Linked DNA regions of Xenopus tropicalis. The protein of the gene in region 1 interacts with the protein of each later gene in a pairwise test. Links are inferred from orthologs where the notes say so. Each region holds a gene or a part of one and is shown on either strand. Other genes may lie near its edges.

Evidence for each region.
Region 2: the proteins of agtrap (region 1) and coq8a interact in binary tests that used the Homo sapiens proteins (3 or more experiments, as listed by UniProt). The two-hybrid records come from large-scale screens. The link is inferred for Xenopus tropicalis from reciprocal best matches to the Homo sapiens genes AGTRAP and COQ8A.
Region 3: the proteins of agtrap (region 1) and ptpn9 interact in binary tests that used the Homo sapiens proteins (3 or more experiments, as listed by UniProt). The two-hybrid records come from large-scale screens. The link is inferred for Xenopus tropicalis from reciprocal best matches to the Homo sapiens genes AGTRAP and PTPN9.
Region 4: the proteins of agtrap (region 1) and hscb interact in binary tests that used the Homo sapiens proteins (3 or more experiments, as listed by UniProt). The two-hybrid records come from large-scale screens. The link is inferred for Xenopus tropicalis from reciprocal best matches to the Homo sapiens genes AGTRAP and HSCB.
Region 5: the proteins of agtrap (region 1) and rmdn2 interact in binary tests that used the Homo sapiens proteins (3 or more experiments, as listed by UniProt). The two-hybrid records come from large-scale screens. The link is inferred for Xenopus tropicalis from reciprocal best matches to the Homo sapiens genes AGTRAP and RMDN2.
Region 6: the proteins of agtrap (region 1) and acsf2 interact in binary tests that used the Homo sapiens proteins (3 or more experiments, as listed by UniProt). The two-hybrid records come from large-scale screens. The link is inferred for Xenopus tropicalis from reciprocal best matches to the Homo sapiens genes AGTRAP and ACSF2.
Region 7: the proteins of agtrap (region 1) and c12orf10 interact in binary tests that used the Homo sapiens proteins (3 or more experiments, as listed by UniProt). The two-hybrid records come from large-scale screens. The link is inferred for Xenopus tropicalis from reciprocal best matches to the Homo sapiens genes AGTRAP and MYG1.

What each region holds. Positions count from the first base shown.
Region 1 is NC_030683.2:65,695,332-65,699,700, forward strand, and holds the end of agtrap (type-1 angiotensin II receptor-associated protein-like), read left to right. Parts: intron 1-2,411; coding exon 2,412-2,512; 3' UTR 2,513-3,643; downstream 3,644-4,369. UniProt on the Homo sapiens protein: Appears to be a negative regulator of type-1 angiotensin II receptor-mediated signaling by regulating receptor internalization as well as mechanism of receptor desensitization such as phosphorylation.
Region 2 is NC_030681.2:7,741,310-7,746,538, reverse strand, and holds the start of coq8a (atypical kinase COQ8A, mitochondrial), read left to right. Parts: upstream 1-1,666; 5' UTR 1,667-1,810; exon of another isoform or gene 1,811-1,814; intron 1,815-5,229. UniProt on the Homo sapiens protein: Atypical kinase involved in the biosynthesis of coenzyme Q, also named ubiquinone, an essential lipid-soluble electron transporter for aerobic cellular respiration.
Region 3 is NC_030679.2:93,340,013-93,345,033, reverse strand, and holds the start of ptpn9 (tyrosine-protein phosphatase non-receptor type 9), read right to left. Parts: upstream 3,055-5,021; 5' UTR 3,013-3,054; coding exon 2,980-3,012; intron 2,538-2,979; coding exon 2,394-2,537; intron 1,185-2,393; coding exon 1,095-1,184; intron 339-1,094; coding exon 202-338; intron 1-201. UniProt on the Homo sapiens protein: Protein-tyrosine phosphatase that could participate in the transfer of hydrophobic ligands or in functions of the Golgi apparatus.
Region 4 is NC_030677.2:150,460,092-150,465,051, reverse strand, and holds the start of hscb (iron-sulfur cluster co-chaperone protein HscB, mitochondrial), read right to left. Parts: upstream 3,380-4,960; 5' UTR 3,226-3,379; coding exon 2,888-3,225; intron 1-2,887.
Region 5 is NC_030681.2:42,152,633-42,157,141, reverse strand, and holds part of rmdn2 (regulator of microtubule dynamics protein 2), read left to right. Parts: intron 1-937; coding exon 938-1,136; intron 1,137-1,745; coding exon 1,746-1,848; intron 1,849-3,335; coding exon 3,336-3,396; intron 3,397-4,509.
Region 6 is NC_030686.2:43,840,337-43,843,960, forward strand, and holds the end of acsf2 (medium-chain acyl-CoA ligase ACSF2, mitochondrial), read right to left. Parts: intron 3,594-3,624; coding exon 3,483-3,593; intron 1,896-3,482; coding exon 1,827-1,895; intron 1,697-1,826; coding exon 1,646-1,696; 3' UTR 1,137-1,645; downstream 1-1,136. UniProt on the Homo sapiens protein: Acyl-CoA synthases catalyze the initial reaction in fatty acid metabolism, by forming a thioester with CoA. Has some preference toward medium-chain substrates. Plays a role in adipocyte differentiation.
Region 7 is NC_030678.2:147,124,716-147,128,223, reverse strand, and holds the end of c12orf10 (UPF0160 protein MYG1, mitochondrial), read left to right. Parts: intron 1-68; coding exon 69-191; intron 192-299; coding exon 300-481; intron 482-1,966; coding exon 1,967-2,126; 3' UTR 2,127-2,224; downstream 2,225-3,508. UniProt on the Homo sapiens protein: 3'-5' RNA exonuclease which cleaves in situ on specific transcripts in both nucleus and mitochondrion. Involved in regulating spatially segregated organellar RNA processing, acts as a coordinator of nucleo-mitochondrial crosstalk.

The DNA.
Region 1 (4,369 bases):
TACTAAATCCATGCCAGGTCCATTGAGCACTTTTCTCCAGATTCAATTTTCTAATTTCCTGCAGACCGGGTTCTAAAAATGTCAAAGCAGATGTCTTGTCTTGGTGACTAATTTCTAAAGAAATTCCTGCATTTACTCCCTGCCCCATTATTCCTCTTTGAGCTGGTTATTGGCCCTGTGTTTCTGACTTTGCTCTCCTCCATGCTTCCCCCTGAGTGGCTTTCGGATAAGACATTAATTTCTCAACTTTTCACAAGTTCTTGCATGGGGCCATTTTTGCCAGATGGCTGGCCATCCTGATGTTAAGAAGACAGGTAAACTTATTTCTAGGTACTTTTGGTGGCCTTCTCTTGCCCAGGATATCACAGTTTTCTGCTGCATGTACAGTTTGTGTGCAACAGAAGACTTCTCTCTCCCTTACTTGTGGGTTACTTTAGCTGCTGACAGTTCCAACTCATCCTTTGTTTGACACCTCAATTAACTTAATTGTTGACTTCCAACATGGGCACGGGCATCAGGTACACAATTGTGGCACATAAACAAGACTTTAAGATAACGCAAAGCTTGTCTTAATGACAGTGTTCACATAATGGTGCCTGCCTGCTTTCTGTGATTGTTCTTGACTAGCACAATGAATAATGCCTTAAGGCTTCTAAAAACATTTAAAGGAGAAATAAAGGTTAAATCAGTGGTGTGGTGCCTAACATTTGGCACCCCCAGTGATTATAATCACTTACCTGATACCCCAGGCTGGCGCATGCGTCTGAGTTCAGCCTTTATTCTACTGTGCATGTGGCCAGACCAGAATGCAAAGAAGTTTAGATATAATCAAATTAAAGAACTGTTTTGTACAGAGAAAATTTAAAAGAGAAAAATTAAATAACTTAAAATTATTATTTACTTAAAATAGATTCAATGAAATATGGCCTATCTGTCATTTAGAGTTTTCTGGATACCAGGTTTGCAGATACAGTGCCATAAAGTTTGGGACAAAGACATATTTTTCTTTGATTTACCCCTCTGCTCCTTAATTTTAAATTTAGAAATGATTAAAGTGCATATTCCAGACATTATATTAAAGTTATTTGCATACATTTCATTTTTACCATGTAGAAATTACAACACTTTTTATATGTATATAGTCCTCATTTTCACAAAAGCAGGATGGCCAGATTTCAGTTAGCAAAAAGGTGCTTAAAAGAGCCTGCAGAATTCTGAAAAAAGGTGTTATGGACAGACGAAACCAAGATAAGAGTAATGGCAAAAGGTAAATGTGGAAACGAAAAGAAACTGTCCAAGATCCAAAGCATATCAACTTATCTGTTAAACATGGTGTTGGGGGTGTTTTGGCTTTGGCATGTATGGCTGCCACAGGTACTGGCACACTTAGCTTCATTGATGATGTAACTGCTGATGACGGTTGCACAATGAATTCAGAGGTGTATAGAAACATCTTATCTGCTCAGGTTACAGTAAATGCTTCCAAACTCATTTGACGGTGCTTTATCCTGCAACAAAATTATGATCCCAGACATAATACTTAGGCAGTTTCTCAGAACTAAGAAATGGAAAATGTTTGAATGGCCAAGCCATTCACCTGATTTAAATCCAGTTGAGCATGCCTTCCATATGCTGAAGAGGAAACTTAAAGGGACAAGCCTCTGGAACAAGCAAGAGTTGATGGTGGCTGCAGTAAAGGCTTGGCAGAGCATCACCAGAGAAGATACTCCACACCTGGTGGTGTCTATGAATCACAGACTTCAGTCATTGAATGCAAGGGATATGCAACAAAGTAGTAAATAAGACTACTTTAATATACCTACCTTTACTTTGCTCCAAACGTTATGGTGCCCTGAAATGAGGGGGACTATGTATAAAAAGTGTTGTAATTTCTGCCATGGTGAAACTGAAATGTATGCAAATAACTTTAATGTCTGGAATGTGCACTTTAATCATGTCTGAATTGTTTGGTTTAAAATTAAGGAGCAGAGGGGTAAATCAAAGAAAAATGTGTCTTTGTTCCAAACATTATGGAGGGCACTGTATGTGATTCCATACCTGTATACTATAATTTTCTACATCAAACTACTCATTTGCAAATCTTTTAAAAGTAAGTGGTGACCTATATATGAAACTTCTTCACTCCTGTGGAATAAAATGGACCAGATCATTTCCAAAAGAAACTGATGCCCATTGCCCAAAAAACAGTGCCTATTGTTTGCCCTTTAGAGCTGCTGATAAGCTTTTAAAAGGCCAGAGCCACAGATTGTAATCTCTGTCGGGGTGTCACTTAGTAAGTTTTTAGTATTAAACCCAATGATCTGGTAAACCTCTTTAAGACTTTAAATTAAAATCTTTTTTTAAAGTAACAGTATTTGGTATAAAATACATTTGTAAATCTTTCTCCATAGGATTCATTACTCTTTCCAGAGATCGCAGCTCCTACCAGTCCATCGAGCATATGGATCCTCCAGCTGACCAAGATAACAAATTGCCATCACGCACATATTGAAAATATAATATGACGTGATCAGATTAAATAACTGGGACTAAAAGGAAGAATGCCTAAAGCAGAAAAGCAAGATCTGATACCTGGGCTGTACATGCCCTTGTGTTCTCGCCCAGAACTAGTAAAAATATGTGCTGAGGACCATTCAGATTTGAGACTTATAAGAGGATACAACAAGTTATTCATTATCAACAAATGTTCAATAGCGCTTGTGTTAAAAATGAGGTCTATATATTTTCTTTGCTAAAAGGAAGGAGATAGTTAAACCAGTTCCAGCATTGGGATTAATTTGTCCCCATCTTTCACTTTAACTTCCAGAATATACTGTGACAATCAATACAAATTTAGGTTTTGTTTTATAAGATTATTTTTGGTTCAGTAAGGAACATAAACTTTAAAAAAATAGTTTGCATACTTGCAAATCTTTAAATTGTATAAACTGTGAACAGGATAAATACATGTACTAACACTGCTAAAATATTAGTATAGAAATATTTCTGTAATATATTTGCCTTTTAGGGTATTTAAAGAAATGTTAAGAATAAAATATTTTAAAAAAGGCCATATGCTATGCCATCTTACTATACTAGCATCATCTGATGTGTTTGCATTTTGCACATTGTGGGAGTAGCGAATGATTATAGGTCAGCTTCTACTGTACAGTAGAACTAAATGCAACGATACACTGTTCACATATCTGGATTCCTAGAACATTCTGATGAAAGCCATCAAGGTAGATATTAGGTTATTTAATTAAAGGTAAAAAGTGTTCCTGAAGAACCTACGCTATGAATGAATGCTATTGCTCCTCCCTTGATGAGCTGCTCCAAAATTTTGGCTGTCCTTCTTTCCTTACTGTGTCTCTGCAAATACGCCCAGCAGTGTCCCTGAAAAAAAAAAAAAATTATATATATTAAAAGTCCTGGAAGTATGGTGCACACAGAGTACTCCAGGTACTGCCTGGGTGCATGGTTAACATAACATAAATAGTAAGCACAAACAAACCGCACTCACAGGACTTGTGTGAAGCAAAAAAATGGTGTTTAATTCAATGTTTCCTATGAATACATTTGCAGTCACACAAAACATGTTAGGTTTTTATCTTTAATAAAGCTTTTTTGAAATTTTATCCGACGAATTTTTATCCGACGAGTGCTGGCTATTGAAGTTTAATTCAATGTTTCGGCTTCAGGACACATGATTTAGGACATATATGTCAAACACAAGGCCCGGGGGCCAAATCCAGCCCACCTGGCTGTTTTATGTGGCCCTTGGTGAGTGTGTCTGACCATCCAGCCTGATCAAGTTCCATTTTCCTCACATAGTAACTAAGACTAAGGGGTATCAGTAATCAGATTTCAACAGTAGCAAAGCATCTATTGGCTGCTATGAGCAACATCACCGGTAATGTCTTACTCCGCTTTTTACACATTGTGATAAATATACCCCTTAGTATCTTACTAAGTATATTAATAAAAAATTTGGCCCTCGACTTAGCCTGTGTTTTAAATGTCGGCCCCCTTATGTAATTGAGTTTGACACCCCTGATTTAGGAAAATGAGTTTTCTAAAAGAAAAAGGGTGAGAACAAGAAGCATAGAGTAGGGTTATGCTATAGAATCCTGAGCTTTTTAAATATTTATTAAGGTTAGTTTATCTTACATGTTTGTAGAATTCTGCAAATGTTAAGCAATTTCTTTACATTGGTTATCCTCTGTTTAGTGATCTTCAGCACTTAAACACCTTCAGTGTAATACAGGTATAGTATTTATAAGCTGAAATGGGGCCTGAACTTTTACAGATAAGGTCTTTGAGTAATTTGTATCACACAGGTATGGGATCCCATTATCCAGAAAGCCAA
Region 2 (5,229 bases), on another chromosome or scaffold:
TATACCATGGACACTGTATATAATATACTATATCCCCGTAACAAAGCTAAAGTGGGCGTGGGCCCCATACTATACCATGGACACTGTATATAATATACAATATCCCTGTAACAAAGCTAAAGTGGGAGTGGGCCCATACTATACCATGGACACTGTATATAATATACTATATCCCTGTAACAAAGCTAAAGTGGGCGTGGGCCCCATACTATACCATGGACACTGTATATAATATACTATATCCCTGTAACAAAGCTAAAGTGGGAGTGGGCCCCATACTATACCATGGACACTGTATATAATATACAATATCCCTGTAACAAAGCTAAAGTGGGAGTGGGCCCCATACTATACCATGGACACTGTATATAATATACTATATCCCTGTAACAAAGCTAAAGTGGGCGTGGGCCCCATACTATACCATGGACACTGTATATAATATACTATATCCCTGTAACAAAGCTACAGTGGGCGTGGGCCCCATACTAAACCATGGACACTGTATATAATATACTATATCCCTGTAACAAAGCTACAGTGGGCGTGGGCCCCATACTAAACCATGGACACTGTATATAATATACTATATCCCTGTAACAAAGCTACAGTGGGCGTGGGCCCCATACTATACCATGGACACTGTATATAATATACTATATCCCTGTAACAAAGCTACAGTGGGCGTGGGCCCCATACTATACCATGGACACTGTATATAATATACTATATCCCTGTAACAAAGCTACAGTGGGCGTGGGCCCCATACTATACCATGGACACTGTATATAATATACTTTATCCCTGTAACAAAGCTAAAGTGGGCGTGGGCCCCATACTAAACCATGGACACTGTATATAATATACTTTATCCCTGTAACAAAGCTAAAGTGGGCGTGGGCCCCATACTAAACCATGGACACTGTATATAATATACTATATCCCTGTAACAAAGCTAAAGTGGGCGTGGGCCCCATACTATACCATGGACACTGTATATAATATACTCTATCCCCAGTAATAAAGTTTAGGTGGGCCCCATACTAAACCATGGACACTGTATATAATATACTATATCCCTGTAACAAAGCTAAAGTGGGCGTGGGCCCCTTGCTATACCATGGACACTGTATATAATATACTCTATCCCCAGTAATAAAGTTTAGGTGGGCCCCATACTAAACCATGGACACTGTATATAATATACTATATCCCTGTAACAAAGCTAAAGTGGGCGTGGGCCCCTTGCTATACCATGGACACTGTATATAATATACTCTATCCCTGTAACAAAGCTAAGGTGGGCGTGAGCCCCCTGCTATACCATGGACACTGTATATAATATACTCTATCGCCAGTAACAAAGCTAAGGTGGGCCCCTTGCAATACCAAGGGAGCTGCACATAACACGCTATACCTCAGCAAAGAGTCGGGGCGGGGCCAGCGGACAGGCCAAACTGCACAACATGTTGATGTTTCTAACGCAGCACCTGGGAGACCCGCCCAACGCGCCTTCCTATTGGCTGTACCTCGTGTTATTGAAGGCTGATTGGCCTCACCCACATTCTGTTCCCCTTCTGCATTTGACTAACGCGACTGACTGACAGCTGCAAGGACAAATCACACGCCAGCTTTCAGTTGATTAGCCAATGAGGCGGAGGAAGGCGTGAGTGTGGGCGGGACAGCGTGCGCTGGTAGGATGGGTGCGCGCTGCTGGTAAACAGTCCGGACCGCGTGTGAGACTGAGAAGCAGCGAGAGGAACCGCGGCACCGACTCCCCGGGGCTTCCAGCACGGCTAGCGGCGCCCAGGCAGGTACTGGGGCTCTCCGTAGCGCTGTGCGGGGCGGGCCTGAGGCGCCTCAGCTGTGTGTGGGCAAGTTTGTCCGCTGTCTCATTGTAATGTCCCGTCTGGCACCCCGTATATTCTGGGCTGCTAACGGGGAGATCAAGCCGCCAGCTTAAAGGGGAACTCGTCCCAATATAGGGGCAGGTCACTGGGGACTATGTGAGGAAACAGGGACATGTGAATGGGACTGTAAGGGGTGTGTGAGAACTTGGGGCGCATCATTAGGGGTATAGGGTGTATGTGGGGTAGCAGGGGGCAAGTGTGGGGTAGCAGGGGGCAAGTGTGGGGTAGCAGGGGGCAAGTGTGAGAAGCAAGGCTCCTCTGTTAGTAGGCAGGGGGCAAGGAATTGGGGAGGTAGGGGCAAATAATTGGCGGGGGCAAGTAACTGGGGCATATGTGGGGGGGAATAACAGGAGGAATGTGTGTGGGGGGGCAAGTAATTAGGGGCATTTGTGAGATGAAGGATTGGTAAGTATTTGGGGTTGATGTGAGTAGGCAGGGGGCAAGGAATTGGTGTTTGTGGGGAGGTAGGGGCAAGTAACTGGGGCATATGTGAGGGGGGCAAGTAACTGGGGCATATGTGAGGGGGGCAAGTAACTGGGGCATATGTGGGGGGGGCAAGTAACTGGGGCATATGTGAGGGGGGCAAGTAACTGGGGCATATGTGAGGGGGGCAAGTAACTGGGGCATATGTGAGGGGGGCAAGTAATCGGGGAAATAGGCATGGGGTGAGTAGGCAAGGGGCAAGTTAGGGCATGTGTGAGGGAAAGCAGGGGTTAATTGCAAGCTGTATGTGAGATGGGCCGCGTTTCTCCCAGGGGCAAATAACTGCGTGTGTGTGTGTATATGTGTGTGTGTGTATATGTATGTGTGGGATAGTAGAGCGGGTCAGTAAGCTCTTGGGTCCATGGCAGTGACCAGCCCCCGGATTTAGGCATCAGTTCTGAGTAATTAGGGGGTAAGTAGCTAATGTAGGTAAGCTAAGGGGGGGGGGGGGGTCCAGGGCTGCTACTGGGGAAACAGGGCCCAGTGAGTGGCTATTGATCAAGGGCACATGAACTGGCAGTTTATTGGGGGCTCTCAGTCGGCCATTGCAATACAGAAAGGCCAATGAAGCCTTGTGCCTAACGATCTATTGTCCCCCCCCCGTGTTCCATATGGTATTAGTGCGAGGGACCCTATAACCCAAGCGCATTGCCAGCTGCACCCTCTGATAGTGTCAGGGGTCACAGTGTGTGCGGCTGCATTTGTTGCGCTTGGTCGTTATGTCTGTGCCCAGCGTGCAGCCCAGGCTGAACATATGGAAAGGCGCTTGTGTTCCCTTGGCTGTGAGTAAGTGGGTGTGAGTGTGCAGCACAGCGGCCAGCGGGACCTAATGCTCCTCGTGTGCAAATCTCCTTCAGAGTCGGATATTTCCCTTTCATTATTGCTATATATTCTCAGTAGTCACAAACAGCCGTGCATGCAAACAAATACTCTATTGGTGCTGAGTAAAGCAGCTGAAATGTTTCTCCCATGTGAGAGTCTTTAATCAAATATTAATCAATATTTAACCCCGCGCATTCCTTTTGTTTTGCTTAAACATTAAGCCGTGGGGTTGGTTCCTCAGCCTTTCTAAACTTGCTTTTCTCAGTCTCTCTGCTAGTTTACCCTGCATTTTCAAATACGTTTCAAACCTAATATTGTTAATTTATATTGAAAGTTGCTTGCAATTTAAAGGACATGTTAACCCCACAAATAAGTTTTTGCCTAATAAAAGGAAACATTATTCTAATATGGAGTTATTATTTTTCAGTGTTTTAATAGTTACCTGTAAATGTAATTGCTATCGAGAGCAGCATTTGCTGAACTCCTGGTTGTTACTTTTTATACATTGTTGCAAAGGTCGGTCTCCCCCCAGGGAGTCAGGTCTGTCAGGCTGCTGCCTTGTGTTACACTGTTTCAGGGGTCAGTCTCCCCCAGCGAGTCAGGTCTGTCAGGCTGCTGCCTTGTGTTACATTGTTTCAGGGGTCAGTCTCCCCCAGCGAGTCAGGTCTGTCAGGGTGCTGCCTTGTGTTACATTGTTTCAGGGGTCGGTCTCCCCCAGCGAGTCAGGTCTGTCAGGCTGCTGCCTTGTGTTACACTGTTTCAGGGGTCGGTCTCCCCCAGCGAGTCAGGTCTGTCAGGCTGCTGCCTTGTGTTACATTGTTTCAGGGGTCGGTCTCCTCCAGCGAGTCAGGTCTGTCAGGCTGCTGCCTTGTGTTACACTGTTTCAGGGGTCGGTCTCCCCCAGTGAGTCAGGTCTGTCAGGCTGCTGCCTTGTGTTACTCTGTTTCAGGGGTCAGTCTCCCCCAGTGAGTCAGGTCTGTCAGGCTGCTGCCTTGTGTTACTCTGTTTCAGGGGTCGGTCTCCCCCAGTGAGTCAGGTCTGTCAGGCTGCTGCCTTGTGTTACACTGTTTCAGGGGTCAGTCTCCCCCAGCGAGTCAGGTCTGTCAGGCTGCTCCTTGTGTTACACTGTTTCAGGGGTCAGTCTCCCCCAGCGAGTCAGGTCTGTCAGGCTGCTGCCTTGTGTTACACTGTTTCAAGAGGGAAAAGGACAAACATTACTTCTAATATCAATTATATATACAAATAACTCAAAAACCATTACGAATTTGTGATGAATGTCTATTGCAAAGTTGCTTAGAATTTTGCTTTCTTTTCTTATGTTCTGTGTTGACTTGTCCTTTACTTTCTTTTCAAATAACTAGAGATCCCTGTTAATGTATGTGACTCCTGTGCAGCAGGTTGCTGGCTAGTCGGATTAAAAACAAAGCGTCACTAGTGCGTATTGGCAGAAGGCTGCTTGCAGGTAAAGTGCCGCTGTGCCTGCTGGGAAGGGGTGCGGTTGGTGTTTATAAGGAGAAGCTGTTGAGCAAGGTGCCAGGGTGAGGCGTTCGTAGTTACCTGGTTTTCTAGGTAGCACTGCTGGATATCTGGGGCATATATGTCATTATCTCTATGTAAAGGCCTAGTGGGGGGGGGGGGGGGGGGAAGCCTTGGCTGGTGACAAGATTTATTCACCCGTTAATTAAACAGTACCTGCTATCGTTATTTACTGTGGTCACGGTCAGTAATTTATGGCACTGTCATTAAAAGCTGAAGTTTGCATTTATGGTTGGAAACCATGTACTAGTTTCTTATACGGTCTGTCAATTTCATATTTATCTAGGGGAGTTTAAGCAGCAGTCCTCCCTGCTTTATGGCTGAGATTCTAGCTATCTGTATAACAGAGCATTCTGTCACAGTGGCACAGATCCTATCTGATCCCTCCCATTGTAAGCAGCAGTCCTGCCCTGCTTTATGGCTGAGATTCTAGCTATCTGTATAACAGAGCATTCTGTCACAGTGGCACAGATCCTAT
Region 3 (5,021 bases), on another chromosome or scaffold:
GGGGTTGAGGTTGTAGCAAATTAAACATATGCCCTGGGATCCCAGTATCAGTGTAAAGAGTGCAAAGAAGCAATATGCTGCAGGTTAAATGTCTGTGAAATATGTACTTTCCCCTTCATCTACCAGTTCCCTCCTGCTCCAGTACTGACACTGCACACACACCTACCCCAAAACACCACATTCAGGTTTCTAGGCTCTCACCTCTCCACAGCTCTGTCCAGTAGATAAAAGAGAGCTTGAAGTACAGTGTGTTGTGCTTGCCTGCTGTTTCTGCGGGCTGGATGGTGTAGTTTAGCGGTGAAGATTGCAATGGAGGCTCCAGTTGGGGCTCTGACACTCTGGAACAAAACAGTGGATGACCAGTCACATGCACTTTGACCTATCCCTAAAGCTCATTATTCCAGGACTTTAATCCATGACCCCTGCCCTCCCAATGATTAGTTCAGTATGCTGTCAATAGATTCAATTTGATGGAATGAAGCACTGCTTCCTGCTACAATTATAAGACTGCCATTTATGTGAGTTCATCTGTAAAATATATATGACACTTACATATATCACTTCCACTCATCCTGTGCCTAGGATTATTTGTTATTAAAATACACAAGAAACTTGAACATCTTGTAAATTATATAATAATAAATGGTGCTTAGTTATGTCATCAATTAAAAGTGGTGTTTAGCGAAGTTGTGTCACATGACTCAGTTAATCATCTGTATTATAAGAAATAAAGTACCCCCAGTTGTAACATCTGAGCATAGAATAAGTTGCCTTTAGGTAGTTGAGAAACTCCTTGGTGTGTTCTATTATCCTTAGCTTTTTACAGTGAAAGGTTCTTTGTCCATGTATTTTTGTCATCCCTTAGACTGTAAGCTCTATGGAACTTCTTCCTCCTGTCTCTTTGATACTTGGCTCCTAATCATTAATGTAACTGTATTCTGTAGTTAATTTCTGTTTGTTCCATGAATTTATTGTTCTGCTGTACAGTGCTGTGTACATAAGCAGCACTATATAAATAAATATATACATGCAAACAACTGGTTATTACTTTATAAGCATTAAATAGAACAACCTTCTGACACCTAACCTCTCACCAGCACAGTAAACTTGCCACTCAGCAACTCAGAAAGTAATGGCTCTTGTAAAGGATTCAGCCGCACTATCCCTTCTCTGTGTCGGGTTTCCTGGAACACAAACATAACATTTATGTTATACAGTGACAGAAAATAAAGGTGATACAGACAGGAGACCAGGAACTTATAATAACAGATAATAATTATATAATGTTGATAAATATATAGTAATGTTGATATATAGTAGGTGCTGTGGGTACCGCCCACTCAAACATTTGTGGGAAAAAATAGCTGGCTGGCCTAGCTGGATCAGCTGGTTCTTTTCTAGAATTAAATTATATGCTTCTACGTTTCTATATGCTTTCTAAACAGATATTTTGAAGTTATATAATGACAGACAGGTACAATGGGCAGGATTGCAATGCAGAATGCTAAGGGGTGCACAAACACAAGATTTTGTGGGACGCTGCAGAATCTCATCCAGTTTGCTGTACTGTTATCTCATCAGATACAATAAGATGCTTTCTTTTTTTTATGCAGCTACAGCCAACAATCAATGTATATCAATGAGAAATAACTTAATCTTGTCAGATAAAAATGCAGGCAGGTGTGTCAGTTCAGTTGTGTCAAATGCCAAAATATTCAAGCACTTTACCAGTCTGTTTAGCTACATTATTGTTGGGCAAGTGCAGCTACATCCCATTTCTAGGATTTAATCTGCAATTAAGTCTCTTGTGGAGTTCAGATCTAGATGTGTTTGGGTTACTGTCTTATAAACGGGGGTCCTAAGTGCTCTTGAGCTACAGCTTCTAGTACCCTCTTACTCCTTTTATTTATCAGCAGGATGTTGGGAGTTGTATTCCAAAACAAGCAAATATTACATCTCTTTCCCTAGATGAAGCCATTGTTAGACCCTAAGATAAGAAAATACCTATTGTACAAAGGTTTCTCAGTGGACCACTAATTTGTTTTAATTGTGCTTGCAGATTTTGCCCTGATTACTATGAATATAATACATATATTCTGATAAAAACAATAAGCAAAACATAAGGTTACCACAAGCCCTGCGGATTTTAATAGCCCTCTAAAGAGCCCCCAAGACCTCAATAGTATGACATCATCATTTTAATATAACCTGGCCCTTAAACAGGCAGTGTTACAAACTGGCCCATTACATGCAAAGAGCTGGCCCCGGCCTTTGTGGCCTTGCCACAAATCTGGGCCTGAGAGCTGCTCCACTGGAAGACAGGGAAAAGCTTGAATGAAGGACATAGAAAGATGGCAGTTACTGTGAAATGCTAATCTGCACACATATCTCACTCTGTATGAGTGGAAGAGTTCAACTGCTCGCACAACATCAAACTTTCTCGCCATCAGAAATTTAACAGCGATGTCCCATGAGAGAGGCGACACGGAGTGGCAGCTTGTCCACAAATTCATCTCCTGCAGGAACCTGTTAGTAGCCTAAGAGGAATCAGAGACATATGGGTATTAATAGACACAAGTAAAACAGAAATCGGCCTATGGGAACAGGGTAGTGAAGGAAAAGGGGATCTTAAAAGGGAGATAATGAAAAAAGCAAACAGGGGGAATGCAAACATTTTTAAGGAGGGAAAAAATTAACAGTTTATCTGAAATGTTGCTCTATAATTTATATGTGCACACATACACACTCATATTTATACTACAAAAAAGACCAGATGCGTGTATGTATACACACACACACACGTGTATATATTTATATATATATATATATACATATATACACTCACATAAACACTTATGTCTTATGCCTGATTTCATGGCACTACATATACAGAATAATTGTGACAATAAACAAGACTAGAAGTCGCTCTTCATCTCACTATATGCAGGACTAATCACCCGCACACAGGGACTGCTTTACCTGCTCCTCCTCCTGTGTCAGAGTCCCTGCCATGCTTGCTTCCTTCCTTTTCCACAATTCCCAGGCCTTGCTCCAGACAGAGGATCCTGCAAGGCCTATGTTTTAGTGAATCGTCTTTTTTTGTCTGCTGTACCCGGATTCAGCAAAGAGGAAGTCACGCCAGGCAGGGTATAACAGATCTTTAAAAAAAAAAAAAAAAATCCTAAATTGTTTGGGGCCTCATTTAGGGGATAATATATCTGTGGGGTGGGGAAGAAGGAAACAGACGTGAAAACACAGACAGTAAAAGGAAAAGAAGCAGTCTGTAAGGCTGTAAAAGAGAGTAACAGGCACCCTCTAGTGGCTTGCATAATTATTACAACATGGTTTAAAGTGACACCAAATGGAAAGTCTTATAGATGATCTCTATATTAGCAAGAGGCCATGCTCTGCAGTTATTAGCTTTGCCTTGCTCAAGCAGTTTCTCTCTTTCCCATATGGTTAATTTGTCCATGTGCTAAATCAGGGGTCCTCAAATTTTTTTAACATGGGGCCAGTTCATGGTCCCTCAGACTGTTGGGGGGGGCCGGACTGTAGTCCTCAAACTACGCCTCCTGCGTCCTCAAACTATGGCCCACTCCCTGCTGCATCCTCCAGCTCCCTGCTCCTCTGCTCCCCGCTGTGTCCTCTGGCTTCCTGCTCCCCACTGCGTCCTCCGGCTCCCAGTTCCCCGCTGCATCCTCCAGCTCCCTGTTCACCCACTTCCCGCTGCGTCCTCCAGCTCCCTGCTCCTCTGCTCCCCGCTGTGTCCTCTGGCTTCCTGCTCCCCACTGCATCCTCCGGCTCCCAGTTCCCTGCTGCATCCTCCAGCTCCCTGTTCACCCACTTCCCGCTGCGTCCTCCAGCTCCCTGCTCCCCCCACTGCGCCCTCCGGCTCCCTGCTCCCCCACTCCCCACTGCGCCATCCGACTCCCTGCTGTGCCCTCCAGCTCCCTGCTCCCCCGCTGTGCTCTCTGGCTCCCCGCTGTGCCCTCCAGCTTCCTGCTCCCCCACTGCGCCATCTGACTCCCTGCTGTGCCCTCCAGCTCCCTGCTCCCCCGCTGTGCCCTCTGGCTCCCCGCTGTGCCCTCCAGCTTCCTGCTCCCCCACTGCGCCATCTGACTCCCTGCTGTGCCCTCCTGCTCCCTGCTCCCCACTGCTTCTGCAGACAGGTAGTAGCCAGGGGTGAGAAAGGCAGCAGGGGCCGGGTAAATTAACTTGGGGCTGGATCTGGCCCGCGAGCCGTAGGTTGAGGATCCCTGTGCTAAATTTTTAAATGTGTTTTTCAGTCAGAGTTTATATCTGATTAAATGCATTGTAATTAAATATATTCTAAAGGAAGCATCCATAGTTATTTTATGCACAAAGAATCACTGAGCTGCTGAAAAGAAAAAGATAGCCTCTTTTTTTTTTAAAAAAAAGATGAAGAGTTGCCTATGGCAGGATTTTCATCAACTTCATAGTAGAGTGAATACTTTGTTGCAAAGCTTTCTCCACAGGGTACCCAAGAAGGTCCAATTTTGAATGCATTGAAAATGTCTTCTTATTCTTGTGATCTTGTGACAGGGGTACTTTGGCAGCTGGGCAACATTCCTGGAAGCAGGACTTGCACCAGCCTCGTTATGGACCTGGAGTGCTATTTCTTTGTATTCTTTTTTTAAAAAGATGTTTATTTATGATTTTAACAAAGGTGAGTTACAGAACAAGATTTATAACTAGCCATTCTTAATTCACATTTCTACAAGCATCTCCCCTTTGAGTACAAGAAAACTTAGATATCTTTTTGTAAGTGTTTTGTATGTGTATTTGGACACAAGGCTGTATTTAGGTCAGATGCTGTCCTGGGCGCTGGATCTAAGCCCCACCCACTTCCCATCAGATAACACAGGACAGTTTGCACATGTGATGATTGAAAAAAGTGGGGAACCTCACTCAGCTCTGCTAAAAGTGTCTAATGGCAGGCTGGGGAGAGTTATTTGGTTCTTAAAGCCCTGACCAGGTGCCTTATTACTTTCATGGTACAG
Region 4 (4,960 bases), on another chromosome or scaffold:
GTAAGGTGGGTTTGTAATTATGTCCACTCCAACTTACACCTTTTTTCTTTCAAGAAATTATACCCTGGGAGGTAGCAATGCAACTTATCAAATTTAATGACAAGCATATATTTCTTCAATTTAGTCTCTGGGCTCAGACAACGGACATGGATTGAGTTAAAGGGGTGGTCCACCTTTACATTAACTTTTAGTATGTTTTAGAGTGTCCTATTTCTAGCAACTTTGCAATTTGTCTTCATTATATATTTTGTATAGTTTTTGTTGCACTTGCTTTCCTCTTCTACACCTTTGTAACATTTAAATGGGGGTCACAGACCCTGCCAGCTGAAAAACGAATCCTCTGCTAGCTCACAGTTTTATTATTATTGTTATTTTTTTTTTCCTTAACTTTCTATTCAAGCCCTCTCCTTCCCATTTCTGTTTCTCATTTAATCCACTGCCTGGTTGTTAAGGTAAACAAGCCACTAGCAACCAGTAACTTAAAACCAGTTGCAAATTGTCTCAAAATATCAATGTTTATGTCATACTAAAAGTTAATGTTAAGGTGGACAGCTCCTTTAAACATAATCAATGGCAATCAACGACTGTCACAAGAGCAGGATTATCAGATGAAAGGTCATCTACATGTACATCTATATCTGGTGTCCCTTGATGAAAAATAAAGCAACAGTCCAGGGAGTTTCTACAGCAGTGCTGGAATCTTACATACTGGTACCTCCCAGTGAAGAAAGGGTTTCCACTCATGACACAGAGTCTGTGCCTAGAAAGTAGCAGTAGTTTGGGAGCTGTGGCTTCCTCGCATCAACAGACTAAAGGTGGCCATACACTGGCTGATTGTAGCTGCCGATATCGGTCCCTTAGACCGATTCGGCAGCTTATCGGCCCGTGTAGGGGCAGCAACGACGGGCATGCCTGACCAATTTCTGCCCTGAATTTGGCCAGATATCAATCGGGCAGGTTAAAAGATTTAGTCCGATTGGGGATCACATTGACTCGTTGATGCAGTCCCCGAACCGACTTTGCCTATACCCGTCGTTATAATTCAGTAGTTTGGGCCCAGGGTTAAATGACCGAATTAGCCTAAATTTGCCCAATATCCCCCAGCCGTAGGCGGGGAAATCGGGAGAAGACCCGGATCTTAACATGTATGGCCACCTTTAGTATTCAAACTTGTCTAACAGATGAATCAGCTGATACACAAAGCACATAGATATTGGTTGAATCCACTGGGTCCCCACACACATACAAATAGTTGTCCAAAACTTAATTTTATTCCACTTCTCAGAGATTCTTTATGCAAGTTATAGTACATAAAAGGTTCAATGGTGCCCTGAAAAATGCCCACTTAATAAACATCCCTGATGCTAATTTAAGATTTTTTTCGTGCTTTAGAGTTACTGGGTCTTTCAAACGAAACCGAGAAATCCCACCCACTAACTGCTTTGACTGTAAATGTGGCCATACACATGTAGATTTTTAAAAGATGTGTTTATACGACCAAGCTTATTGTGAATTGTTTAAAATTATGATTTGTCCATCGACAAGAACAACCATTTCAAGTGATATTGTCTAATTGAAGTCCAAACCTGAAGAGGATGTGATGTATTTGCTTTTGTATACACTGTTTTCAAGCTGTATTTGGTCCTGCAAACAATTTTGTAACATACTATGGACATTATGGTGATTTATTGAAATGAACACTCATATCAAAGAATGAATGGTCGGTACATGTGCAGTCAAAATCTGTCCATCCCATTATTGGACAAATTTCATCATTTAAAGGGACCTGTCACCCAGACATAAAAAAGGTGTATAATAAAAGCCCTTTGCAAATTTAACATGAAAGCCAAATTCTTTTTTTATTAAACCATCCATTTCTGTTCCAAGGGTATTTAAAAGTCTCAGCTGTCAATCATAATTTGCTGGCCACGCCTCCATTCCTCAGGCATAGAGGCAGGGCATTCAAACTACTTTCACTTTCCAATCTGCACTTCCTAAGTGTCACTGCACTCCTCACACTTCCCCTCCCTCCTCAAGGTCTATAATTGTGTAGCAAGTGCATGGGAATGGGCCTTGGTCTCCTATTATGGCACATACACAAGGTTTAGGGGTGATTCAAATGTTGCCTTAAGGTGGCCATACACGATAAGATCCGCTCGCTTGGCAAGGTCACCAAGCAAGAGGATCTTCTCCCGATATCCCCACCTATGGGTGGGCGATATTGGGCTAATTCGATCTTATTCAAAATTAGAATGACGGGTATAGGCGCAGTCAGTTCGAGGACCGCATCAACAAGCCGATGCGGTCCCTGAACTAAATTTTTAAACCTGCCCGATCGATATCTGGACAATTTCAGTCCAGATGTCGGTTGAGCATGCCTGCCGGTAGTGCCCATACACGGGCCGATAAGCTGCTAAGTCGGTCTAAGGGACCGATATCATCAGCTAGAATCAAGCCACGTATGGCCACCTTTAATTACAGTGCCCAAAAAAAATGGGAGCGTGCCTGATGGCTGTGATTGTGAATTCCAAAATTGAAGTAAACAAGATTTAAATAATTTATACAGTGTAACTAAAGTTAATTTTGCTCAACTAATATGACTTTGGAATTATATCATAAGGTGATAGGCCCCCCCTTTAAAGACGAAAAATTTTCTGTCATAAGTACAGTCAGTGAATTTAATCGCCAGGCATGGGTTCACAGTGAAATTCTGCATCAAAACTGGCAAGGCCAAGCAAGTTGCACAGTAAAAGCATATATTTGATAAAGCTATATACTATACAAGTTTTCAGGATTGGAACATGAACAACCTTTTAGGAAAGGGAATCTATTGTTTCCCAGTATGTGTGCCTACTTTATATGACATGCATGAGGAATATGGGCTCACCAATCCAGAACCTGGAAAAAGTCCTTGCTCTCATCAGGTGGCTGCAGAGAAGTACATGTGGGGCAGAACAACTCAGCCCTGCTCATTTCAGCCTGACATCTCCAGCACAGGCGGCTCTGGGAAGTCACACAGAAACTTCTTAAAGAGTAAGTGCAGCTTGAACGCAGGGTACTACGGGACATTGCACTTGTTGCACTTTTTATACATGGTAATCGGGGCGGCCAAGAGAAAGCCCAGAAGCCCCGGCTCACTGGCGGCTTCCGGCTCCACCAATGCTGAACCACCATTCGCATCCACTGACTGGCATAGCACTTTAATACAGCCCTGGTAGGCTCCATTGCTAAAGCAGGGGAATGAGCAGTAAGAGCCGGAAATGGTAATGCATCAAGGACAAGCTACTTCCACCTCCCAAGTCCGTCATTGCCCAGCGTGCAACCTAACTCTCAGCATTGACCGTGCCGCGGCTCTCCTGCGTCTCCTATTGGCGCTTTCGCTTCCTGGAATGGAACCAGTTCCCAGTCCACGTGATTGCGCTTCCTACTGTGATTGGCTGTCGCCTTTAACTGTACATGGCGGCAAAAGGAAAAACTGCACCTTTTCCCGGTTTCGTTATCTTGGAATTGAGGTGAGGGGCCTGATGGTTATGGTTTCTAAAGAGTGTGGGTTTAGGATCAATGTCTGTACTGTCAAGTGTTATTATCGCTAATATGTGCGCTTCAGGTAGAGGAGGGGCGCCATAGGTGCTGCCAGTCTGGAGATGGTCAGAGCTGTTCCACTGCTGGAGAAAGGCAGGCAGTCACCTGGAGCTAAACATAAGCTTTCCAGGTTTGTGATCAGTTTCTCACAGGCAAGCATTATAAATATTAGTATTCATCAAAAGAGTCTACCGAGAGTATAAAAACTACGGAAGAGCAGTAGGGCCACCAAAAAAAATAATTATAATTATGACTTTAAAAAGTCGAAATTATGACTTTTAATCTCATAATTATGACTTTAAAAAGTCGAAATTATGACTTTTAATCTCATAATTATGACTTTAAAAAGTCATAATTCACCGGAATTTTTTTTTTTTTTTGGTGGCCCTACTGCTCTTCCGTAAAAAACAAAGGGGCAGTAGGCTAGAGCATTTTATACCGGAGAATTCTGATTTTTCTTCTAAACAATCACAAATGCAGACGAATCAAATCGTTTGTATGTATGGATTATGGGGCCAATTTATTAAAATTCCAATTTGTGTTTTTTTTTTTAATTTTTACGATTCTAGAAAAAACGCAGCGAGAAAACGTGAATGAAGATACATTAGAGATTATTCTTAAAAAGTTGGAAGAAAAACTTTCAATAAAAGTCAAAGATAATTGTTTCTAACAACTTTATTTTTCCCAGTTATTTAAACTTTTGGGTTTTTTAGCTTTAAAATGGAAGGAACAATGTGATTCTCGCCAGATAAGTTGCACAAGTTTAGTTATGGTTATTTTTTTCACATCCACTTTTTTCCCCCCCCAGAAACTCAAATTTTGATAAATCTGCCCCTAAATATAATGCACTGTAAAGCTGGCCATATACACATAGATATTGTTATATACTGAATGAACTTTGATTCACTGTGACCTTTCCTTTGGAGTGCCAGTTGATTTTAGTGTGGTGGTCTGTTTTCCTTAGGTTTGTTTTTGGTGCCAAGCCCCAAAATGTCAGCTAAGGGAAGCATCCATCACATGACAGTGTCTGTCAAGATTGATAAAAACACACAAACAGACTTTCAAAGAACACCTTTTTTGTACATGGATGGCCACTTTTAAGGCCGTAACACACTGCGAGATTGTCTCCATTTGGCGCCAGTGACTAATCTCCCCGCAATGCCATCCCACCGGCTAGAATGGGGCATTTCAGAAGTTTCCTCTCAAGGCTACAGCGGTCCCGCATGTGCCATCCCATCAGTGATTTACATTCTAGCTGGTGGGATGGCATTAGTTGCGACGCGACTAATCTCCCCATGTACCCCTGCCCTTACCCTGTGTGCCTTTAAAACACTAATATGGTGTATATAAATAACTTGTAGCTGCGGGGCAGCCATCC
Region 5 (4,509 bases), on another chromosome or scaffold:
TGCACAGTCAGTCACTGGGTGATTACGTATTCAAGTTTTGTTTTTTTTTTACAGTGGGCAGAGCAACCAACAGCCAATCAGATTTTACCTATTGACTTTTAATGGGGAAATTTAACCTGCTGCCATTCTCACAGTACTAACACCAGGGTCCCCAAACTTTTCACAGTTGGTCACTAGGGGGCTGCAGTGTTAGTTGGGCGGAGCCACCAACAGCCAATAAGATTTCACCTATTAAATTGTATTGGTTTGATGCCAGGGTTCCCAAACTTTGCACAACGAGTCAGGGGGTGACTACGCACTCAAGGTTAGAAAAAGTAGGCAGGGCCTCCATAAGCCAATCACATTTCTTTCGTTGTTTTCAGTGTTGAACATTTTAACTGCTGCCATTCTCACATGTTTAATGTCAGGGTCCCCAATCAGATGTCACTCGTTGACTTTCAGTGGGGAAATTTAAATTGCTGCTATTCAGACACTATTAAAACCAGGGGCCCCAAACTTTGCACAGTGGTTTTTACTATATAATTGTGGTCCAAGGTTAGAAAAAGTGGGCGGAGCTAACAACAGATCAGATTTCATTCAGTGACTTCACGTTGTTCAACCCAACACGAAGTTTGTTCTCAAACTTCCCTTTCTAGTCTATAGTTGTAATCTTTCCAGGCCTCTAGAAATGTTCATTATAAATTATATTTATATTTCATGTATGTGTGTATAGTGAGTATAAGTAGTTAAATTTAACCTGCAGTCTGAGTGAACCCAAATATAAGTAATTTAACCTTGCTGCTGACCATTAAGGTAAGCAATTTGGAAATTAAAGTGAATTATTAAGAGTAAGATTTATCAAATTGTTAAACAGTTTTTACAAATATTAACAATGCATCCTTTTTGCTCATAAGAGTCCATTATACTTTTGAGTTTAACAGTTTATTTTGCATTTTAGGTACATAACAGCTCACACTGACACTGAGCTAGAATCAGATGAGGAACGAGGGCTGAAACATCTGAATGCAGAAAATGCTAAGGTTACAGAAGAGAAAGCAGAGCTACTTTCTGTTCTTTACCAGGCAGATACTGGGCACTGTGGTTCCGAACCAGATAAACAAGACACATTTCGAATGATGCTTGATAATAAAGAAAAGGTTGTTTTTTGTTTTTTTTTCATAACAGTTACTTTTTAATAAATGTCTAAAGTTTTGCCCATAATGAAATGATACCTATATGATTCGCTTCGGTATTCGCCCAAAGCTTTCACAAAGGATTTGGGTTTTGGCCGAATCCCAAAATAGTGGATTCAGTGAATCCCTAACATGAACCTTTCCATGATTCTCCTGTGGGAGCCCTGCATCCTAAATGTTCCTTTAACACTACACTTCCTTATTATGACTATAACAAAAACCTTTTCAAAAATCTTTATTTTTCTGTTGCTTTGCAAAAGTTGAGTGAACATTATTAACAATTGAAAAATAAAATGTGAACTAAAGGTACAGATAGGATAAAGTTGTGACTATTATATAACTTACATTTTTTACATGGGACTCATTTTGTAACACTGGAAAATTCATCTCAATGCAGATACCCATAATAACCAATCATCAATTAGCTTTAATCAGTCTGCTATGGGTAGAATAATGAAAAAAATTTGGTTTCTATTGGTAACTGTACTGAGGTAGATTTCACCCAGCATAAATAAATGAACCAGATTAATGCAGCTGTGTAAATAAAATGTAATGAATTCTTTTTCTTTTTAGTATGGAAACAAAGTGGAATTTCTGTGGAGACTGGCACGGGCATATGGAGATATGTTTGATATGACATCCGATGTTGAAGAAAAAAAAAACTATGCAGCTAATGGTAAGAGTTGTATTAGAAACAATCAAGACCAGAGTATGAACAAGCTACACATAAAGCACAAATTAAAGCACTGAATCTTACAAACAGTAAAACTTTGCCCAACAATATATGGATTTATTTTACACGTGTACTCCATTACAGAATATAATTGAGCCCAGTATACAGACAGTATATGATATTTTTATTGGATTTGGACTAATGAAGGATTAACAAATAATATAGGTAAAAGATAGCACCAAGCTAATGCTTCTGCAATACATGCAATGATTTTTTTTTTTTTTTTTTAAAGAAAAATTTATTAGGCAAATTGGCAAAAATACAATCTGTTTATCATTGCTTCATTATACATTATAAGATACAGTATAGCACTGAGTACATAAGTAGCACTATATAAATAAAAACATACATACATCTGCTGTACATTCCTTCTCAATGGTTTCTTGGGAAGAGTGGGCGTGTCGCATGCTGCACAAAAAAAAATGTATAGCTCATGCACTTTTTTACCACTCCCTATTTAAACCACGCCCACTAAAGGTTACAGCCTCTCTTATATTACAACATTAAGTTTGCTGTGTGCATATTTCCCCAGTATAGGTAAATTTCTCTCAATTTCCCACCTGGCCCTTATATGGTAACATCCTCATCCTCATATTGTACCTGGGCTGAAAATGTTAGAAATGATATATCATATCTTCCCTAATTCCTACAAAATGCAGCAAGTGGAGACTTCTTACCCCAAAGTCATTGGGGGAAGGGGGTGTCTGTTTACCCGGATAGGGCACCAGGGTTTTAAAGCAGGCCTGTTCCTGGAAACAGGACTAATGGTAGGGCTGGATTTCAATGGTATGTGCACCTAGGCTAGCAATCACATACCCAGCCTGCCACCCCCTCCCTAGGTGTATACGTGCGTGAGAGAAAGTACTGATAGGGGCTGTGCCCACCCCATAAGTCATTCTACAGAAGAAAACAGGAGCTGCACTGGGACAGGAGATTGAAATCTTGAACAATCCCCCTGTTGCAGTTCCCTATTATTGCAGAAAGCAGGCAGCACTTTGTGGCCTTCCCACAAACCCAGACCTGGCTAAGGTGAACCTTCTTCTATTTATACTTGGATAATTGCAATAAAATTAGGCAAATGCTATGGTGCTGCTCACTATATCCAAGAATATGTATATAGAAATCCATGAAGTAATGTGCTGTGGAGTCCATGGAGTGTGTTCATGGCTGTTTCCTGAAGGTGAGAACCTTGCCAGTGAGCTGACAGTTAAAAAATTTGTCTCGAAAAGTACGGCCCCTATTTGACCCGCTCCAATGCCAAAGTGGTATGGAGTGGTTGTGTGTGGGGGGGGGGGGGGTGGCAGCAGCCCCAGAAATGCCCCTGAGTGTATTCTGTATTTACATGGTATGCATGCATGCATCTGTTTTCTGTCAGTTTTTAGTCTGTATTTCTTTCTCAACAATTACATTATTATTTTTTTATGTTGTAGGTAAAAGTATTGCTGGTAAAGCCATTCAGTTAGAAGACTGTAGTGCAGAGAGCCATAGGTGGTAAGTGTACCAGTGAAATACATCAGTGTATTCATTGTTTTTGTTCAGAATACACTGCAATAATACAGTTGGCTCTATGAACACCAATGGGTAAATTTTGTCAAAAATCAAGTGTGTGGTTTTTCTACCTTAAATAGCTGGTGCTCAAGGGGAAAAAAAAACATTTGTGCAGAAGTTGGCTTGAGAGGAAACTTTCACTGAAATCGCCATACCACCGGCGATTTACATTTTCGCCAGTGGGATGGCATTTCGGGTAGATTATTCGCCCGTAAACAGGGTGATTTGTCGCGGGCGACTAATCTCCCCGTGTGCCAGAGTCCTAAAATTACGTGGGGTGATTTTTTTCAGCCTAAAGTGCAACCTGAAGCAAGGTTCTTACTTTGACTCATAGCAGAAACAGGCCTGTATGGCGGTGGGCGCTTGGGTTGAGTTTTACAGGAATATAAAGAAATTGCAATAATCGATCTTGTTTATTCCCTCTTACTGTGGAATGTCAGGATATACATGAGTGGTAGGTTGGAAGTCAGTAATGCAAAAATAAATCTCCTGAGTTTCTATACATGTCTTTTAAACATGCTGGTACAAAAGCCTCCAGTAAACTGTATGTTTGTTTTAATCTGTTTCTTTATGACATATTTATGCATTGCTGCATTGTTAAACAAAGTGTGTGGGAAAACATATAATTATTAGCAAATAAATGCTAAGCATGATCAAAGGGACCTTTTAAGGTTTAGGTAAATAAGCTTTTTATATATAAGCTTTTTTATCATTCTTTTTCTTCTTAATATAGAAAAATATTCTACATATTATTAGTCAGGTTTTTAATGTAAAGGTAGGAAATACATACTTGTTGTAACCATGCAAAAAGTGCATAATCACAGAGCAATTTTTGGTGACCCAGTGCTGCGGAGATGGACTTGAGATGGTAAATGAGACACTTGAGACACATAAGACATTGCACTATACAGAATAAAAGTTTCCCGTTTTGTATTTTTATCCACCTTTCATTTCCAGGGTGCTTGCAGTATTGTTTCATTGAATTGTCATACCTAGTCTGTCAATACAATACAAGATTGAATTATACAGAGCAAAAGTTTCACTTTCTGTATTTTT
Region 6 (3,624 bases), on another chromosome or scaffold:
TCTACCACAGGCAACAGTGATTATAGGAGAGGTCCCGGGAGTTGCACAGCGCTGCAGCATTGCCTAGAATTCCCTGCAACAGGGACGAATGGTGACTGCAGGTCATTTGGCCTTCGGTGTTTGTCCCTATCTGTACTTAGGGGTAGTTCACTTTTAAATTGTTAAGTATGACGTAAACCAGGGATCCCCAACCTTTCTTACTTGTGAGCCACAGTCAAATGTAAAAAGACATGGGGAGCAACACAAGCACCATAAAAGTTCATGGAGGAGCCAAATAAGGGCTGTGATTGGCTATTAGGGGCCTCTATGCACCCTATCAGCTTACAGGGGCTTTATTTGGTAGGAAATCTTGTTTTTATTCAACCAAAACTTGCCCCCAAGTCAGGAATTCAAAAATAACTCTCTGGTTTGGGGGCACTGAGAGCAACACCCAAGGGGTTGGGGAGCAACATGTTGTCCCTGAGCCACTGGTTGGGGATCACTGACATAGACAGTAATATTCTAAGACAGTTTTGGTTATTTAGCTTTTTGTTCAGCAACTATCTGGTTTCTAGGGTCTAATTTTGTCTAGCAACCAGGCAGTAGTTTGAAATAAAGATTGGAATACATTTAGGAGGGGGACTAAATAGGAAGTGATAAAAAATAACAGTAACAATAAAATTGTAGCCTCTCAGCTATAGTGTTTTTTTTTGCCTGCCGGGGGCAAGTGACCCCTATTCGAAAGCTAGAAAGAGATAATTGAAGGCCAACTGAAATTCATCTCACTTTCTACATTATACTAAAAGTTAACTCAAAGGTGAACAACCCCTTTAACATTAAAAAAAGGATCAATTGTTAATAGTAGGGATGCACCAAATCCACTATGTTGGGGTACGGCCGAACCCTGAATCCTTTGTGAAAGATTCTGCCAAATACCGAACTGAAGCTGAATCCCAACTGAAGGGTTAAATAGAAATGCATGCTTAAAAAGTTTTTTAATTCTGTGTTTTCATGTGACCAAAAGTCACGTGATTTTTAAGATTTGGATTTGGTTGGGACAGGCCAGATCTGAATCCTGCCGAACCCTGGATCCGGTGCATTCCTAGTTAATCGCACATTTTGATGTGTATAATAATAAATAATAAACACTCACCTTCAGCATTTCACATAAAAACATTTATTAAAAAATATAAAAGCAATAACGAAGCATGATCTCTACAGCGCAGAGTGACAGTATTGTGCCAGATTTAGGGAGGAGCTTGATGGAGCAGACCTCCCCTGAGGGGTGGGACAAACTGATGGATGGCAGCACAATGGAATATACATGGGTTTCCCCGGATGTATATCACAATGAATTAGGGACGTAACTCTTTATCTGGGACGGCAGAGATGAGGGCCCTTGGGTACATTCAGTTTTGTGTTTAGCTTATGCACAAAAGGTAAATGATGCACAAAATGACATACAAGGCTTACAAAATAATTCAAACAATGAAATTCCGTTTTGAAAAGATGCATCCAAAAGTTGCACGGCCACCTTTAGCCAAGAGACGTATAGGCAGGTTAAGGAGGATGAATACAGAGGCGCAGAGTGAGATGAGGTGAAGGTGCAAGGAGAAGCGTAAGCTTAGGAAGAACAAGGAGAGGCACTAAGAAAGTCATTACTGCATCACAGGTTTAGCTCTTTTTCCATTCTCTCTCTCAGTTTGTATTTCTGGATCTGGAAGAGACAAAGAACGAAAGCTGAAACCAACACAGTGTCCCCGGCAAAGTCCCCGTCCCATTCCCAATACCTGAAGCTTCTACCGCCTCGAGGCACATTCTACCCGTTTCGCCAAATTGAGCTTTACCTTTCCAGAAACGGTGAGCGGATACTCATTCACAAACACAATGTAACGTGGGATCTTAAAATGGGAAATCTGTCGGCAGAAAGAAAAAAGAGAAATCTCATCAGAAACACAGGGATAAACTGAGGTTATCTGGAACAGAAAGGGCCGGTTCACCTTTAGGTTACCTTTTAGCATGTTACAGAATGGCCTATTCTTAGTAACTTTTCAATTGGTCTTTATTTTTTACTTTTCCTAGTTTTTTAATTATTTGCCTTCTTCTTCTGCCTCTTTCCAGCTTTCAGATGGGGGTCACTGACCCTGGCAGCCAAATAACTATTGCTCTGTGATACTCCATTTTTATTGTTACTTTATGTTATTTATCTGTCTATGTGGGCCCTTCTCTATTCATATTCCCGTTCCGCTTACAAGCTGAAATTCCAATGTTGAAAGATGCAGAACAAAAGCTAAATAATTCATAAACTGCAAAAAATTAAGACCAATTGCAAGTTGTCTCACAATAGCACTCGCTACATCATACTTCAATTAAAAGCCTGAAGTCTAAGCAGAAGCTTTGTTGCTATTCATCCCATTCTCTTCATGTTTTCTACTCTCCCCCTACACATATTAATTCTTCCCATTACACTATTTTACCTCCCTTTGTCCTCCTCTGCTTTCCTTCTACTTTTAATACAATATTCTCAGTTCTCCCTTTTTTTCTTACCATGTTCCTTTTTTAATTTGTGTTACTAACTCATTCCTTTCTTGTTGTCCTTTCTGCTTCCCGCCTGTGGTACCTTGGCTCCAAAGAAGAAAATGGGAACTTCCCCTTTAAAAAAGTGCTTGAATTGGGGCAACGCTGGCTTACAACTGTGGAAGGGGCTATATGGGACATGCCAAAAACAAGTCCGACAATGATGTACTACACCCACTGTTATAATAAGCCTCACACACCAACACTACCTGGTTTTACCCACTTTAAAGCAAAGCCATTTTGCCTTATCCTTCTGCTGAATGGTTTGTTGGCCAGTAAGCATGGATTTACAAAAGTAGTACAAAAGTAGGAACCCTACGGGGGTGTAAGTACAGAGGGAGCAGACCCTGCAGTCACAGGGTGACAGAGGATGGTAGAGGGCCCAGCGAGGCCCTAATTAGTGAGCAGTTTCAATATATCTCAATATAAGTTATCAATATTTTGGGGTGCTAAACTGAAGGCCCAGTAACATCTAGTTACGCCACTGGACATCTAAAATGAAAATTGTGAGTATATGGCTTGGTTGGCAATTGAACTTCAGCAAAACAGCCCCCCTTATGTATAATGTGTGTAAACACAGTACAACCCCAGCATATTTTATATCCCCCCACAATATTTAATATATATCATCCTCTCGCCATTCCACATTTCCCTATTTTCTTCTTCTTTCCCGTTCTCTAAACCCCTCTCTAAACTCCCCTCTCTTCGTCTGTATAACACTTCTCTGTCCCTCCGCATTCCTCCCCAGTTCCAGCACTGCCCTTATAATAAAATGTTTACATCCACAAAGCCAGGGTTACTATGGCTATACATGCCAGAGGGCCAGCCAATGAGATATTAAACTACCAGTTTCCAAGCACAGACAACTCATGATTGGCCAAGTTGTTTGTACCTTCAGTGGTTCCGTATCCCATGGTGGTACCTACCTTTCCTTTACAATATTCCTTGATTTCGGCGGGAGTCGCAGTCTTGCCATCATAGAGGCGAATACAAGCGCAGACCTCCTCCCCCATTCGCTCATCCTTCACTCCAATTACCTGTGACGGGAAATTCAATGCAGTTTGTCGT
Region 7 (3,508 bases), on another chromosome or scaffold:
TTTGGAACAGTCTGCATGATTGGTGGGGCTCCTAAATACTTTCTCCTTGCTACCCTTCCTTCCCACAGGCTGGTTTTAAAAAAGCAATGGAATTGGCCGGATCAGAGTTTGTGTCACGCTTGGATTTCTATCATCGCTCTTGGCTACCAGCTCGGGCTTTAGTGGAGGAGGCGATCAGGAAAAGAATTCAGGTATGTGACTCCCATTTTGGTTTCATTTCATTCGTCTCATGGATAACACATGTCACATCTGAATGAGAAATTGGCATTTTGGGATGAAATTGTTTATTTTTGGCACAGGTGGATGAGAGTGGTGAGGTGATTGTCCTGGCACAGGGTGGCTGCCCATGGAAGGAACACCTCTTCCAACTAGAGAAAGAGCTTGGTCTGGAAAAGCAAGTGAAATATGTACTGTATCCTGACCAGAGCGCAAAGTGGAGGGTGCAATGTGTCCCTACAGGCCCAAACACTTTCCTGAACCGGTAACAGTATTCAGCACACTTCTTGTTCACATGTTAATAGGGATCTTAAAAATAATTATAAAATATACTGTCCTGCCTGTTTTATAACTAAAATGCAACATCACGTTACGTTGAGACAGTGTGGTAGAAAGTATTTGGCTATTTTTTAAAACTCACGGGAGCACTTACAGATCCAGCAGTGTGTGTTCAAACGCACAGCCGGCACCCAGACGGCAAAATAATCTGTATCCAAAGAAACTATTTGATATCCCCTCTACCTATGGCCGATAGATGTTCCAAAATACGTTCACACGCTTTCCTGACTGTTTTACCTACATATTGAGCACCACATTTACATGTAATCAAATATATCACCTTTTGTGAGGTACAATTAAAATATTGTTTAATAACATATATTTTCCCAGTATATGTACTAGGTAGAGGGGATATCAAATCGGCTATAGCTAAACATTCCCTTGATAAACATGGAGGGAACATGGATTTTCATTTTCAGATTATAGATTCAGGTGGTTTTAATATAAAGAGAGGTGATTTTGAGAATAGATTGTTACGTAGAGAAGCATTTTGGATTTATCAGTTGGGTACTATAGAGTCATTGGGAGGTATGAATAGAGAGTGGGAATTAACCTGTTTCTATTGACTGATGGTTATTTGTATATGGGTATATATAGATATGTGCACACATATATAGGGGTAGTGTATATATGTACATTTACATATTTGTTGTATCTCTTTAACTGCCTGTGGCTGATGGATGTTAATAAGCTTTAAATAATAAGCTCCAGTGTTTTTTACTGGGTAGCATTGTTTTTAATAATGATATATGCACTATAAGGGTTAACAAGATGTGTGGGAGGAGTTTTGTTTACCTATAAAGGGTATTTTCTGAATGGATGTACCATGCAGCTTTTGAAAAAGTGGTGAGACACCACGAAACGCGTCAAGCGTATGGTCTTTTTCTGTATAAGCACAACATGTTTTTAAGGAGATGGAATAAAGAAATGATTTTTTAAACGGCAGTGTGGATGTTGCTCCGTACTTAGTTTCTTTGGATACAGAAAGTATTTGGCTAAACACATAAAATAAGCATAGCAGCAAAATGGAAACTTATTTTAACATACTATCATGGTTGTACTAATGCCCACCGCACATCTGGAGGGAAATAATGCAGCTCTAACTGTAACAGGGAGAAGTGTGGGAGTAAAAGACAGAACTTTGTCCATTCACTGGCTGATGAGACCTAACATGTATGTGTGCCCTTGGTTTGTTTGTGTGCACCCTGAATCCTATGATCCCACAAAACAGCCTTTAGTACTTAAAATGGCAATTTTCTATTTAGGATTGTTCAACTGCACATGCTACTAGAAAAGTGGATTTAAATGATTTATTTAGTTTGAAGCAGTGTTTTACATATGAGCTGTTATATGCATTATATTTTATAGAGGTATAGTTTCCCTTTAATTACTGATCTTCTTAACCCCACAGTCTGTCTCTCCCCGAGGATTGGCGCGGACTTCGCGCAGATGATCTCTCTTCTGTTAGCGGGATACCAGGCTGCATCTTTGTTCATGCCAGTGGATTTATTGGTGGAAATGAGACCCAAGTAGGAGCACTAGAAATGGCACGAAAAGCACTGAGATCCTAGGGCGCTTCCTCTAAAAATAGGACAAAACACAGCAACAACATCTCCTTGTATTTATATTGTGACATCAGTAAATATTTTTGTATACAAGTTTTTGTCAATCAGTATCTAATAAGTTGTATTTATTGGTGTTTTTTTTTTTTTTTGCTTTTGCTACTGAAACTTACAGGTTACATCAGAATTATGCAGCGATATAGACATGCGGAAATATTCTACAATAGGTTATTATAAAAATTCTATACACAGTGAAAGTTTCAACAAATAACACCAATAGTGTCATTCAAACCACATTGTACTTCATAATCACATAATCACCCATTGCCTAACCTACAGGTAGAGAATTGATCCGTATTTGCCACAATTACTTTGAGCACTGGGACTTCATTAAAGGAGAACTAAAGCTTAAGAAAGAAGTAGTTATGCTGAACATTTATGTTTTGGGCTTCTCTGCCAGTTCAAGGCAACTACCGCCCTTTAGCAGGGAAGATCTGTGCCCCCAAGATGCCCCCCCCATCTTTTCCGCTGATTCCCTACACATACGCTGTGCTGCTGTTACTTACCCGAGCTTAGGAACCCACTCAATTTACAGTATATATAGAATATAAATGTCACAATATATGGCTTATCAGAAAATTATGTCAGCCCAGAAACCAGTGTACTCTGCATAAGCTTATATTACAGGCCAGCATCATTTTCTGCTTGACAATTTGCAATGACCCCTAAGCTCAGCTTCTCAGGAGCTGCTCCGCACACTGAGCATGTGCAGTGTCACTGACTCTCCTAACAAAATTCAAGATGGGGAGCTCCTGAGCACTGTTTAAAAAGTCTGGATCATTATGTTGTAACCTTTAGAACCTGTAGACTGGTAAAGTAGACTCTGTATATAAAATACAGAAATTCTAGCCATATTCATTTTTTTCCTTGTACCCAAAATGTTTCCATGAGTGTGTCTCATACCCTGTAAACTTTAGCCATTGATTATGTGGTATATTGAACCTTTCTCTGAGGGTTCTCTGGTCCTAGATATAATTTATAGTTCTAACACCCGTCTTAATCCAGCTCTCTGGCAAGTGCATTTTAGACACAGTGAAATAGTGGGTTATTCTATAGCATGGAAGCATAAGCACTCTGGTGCTAGTTTCTGTTTTTTCAAAAGCTAGGGGATCGCAGACAGCAAAGAGGAAGAAGCAAATGTATAAAGCTTGCACCTTTCATTTGCATTTTCCTGATCTAATTGGCTGATTTGATTCAGCCGCTTAAGCTGGCCACACACGCACCAATGATTGTATGATATTCAGTGCATGTATGGCGGTTCGACGAGGCAACCAATATCATAAAAGGCTGTGGCTATCAGACGACTCCTCGATCGGTCGGGTTAGAAGATT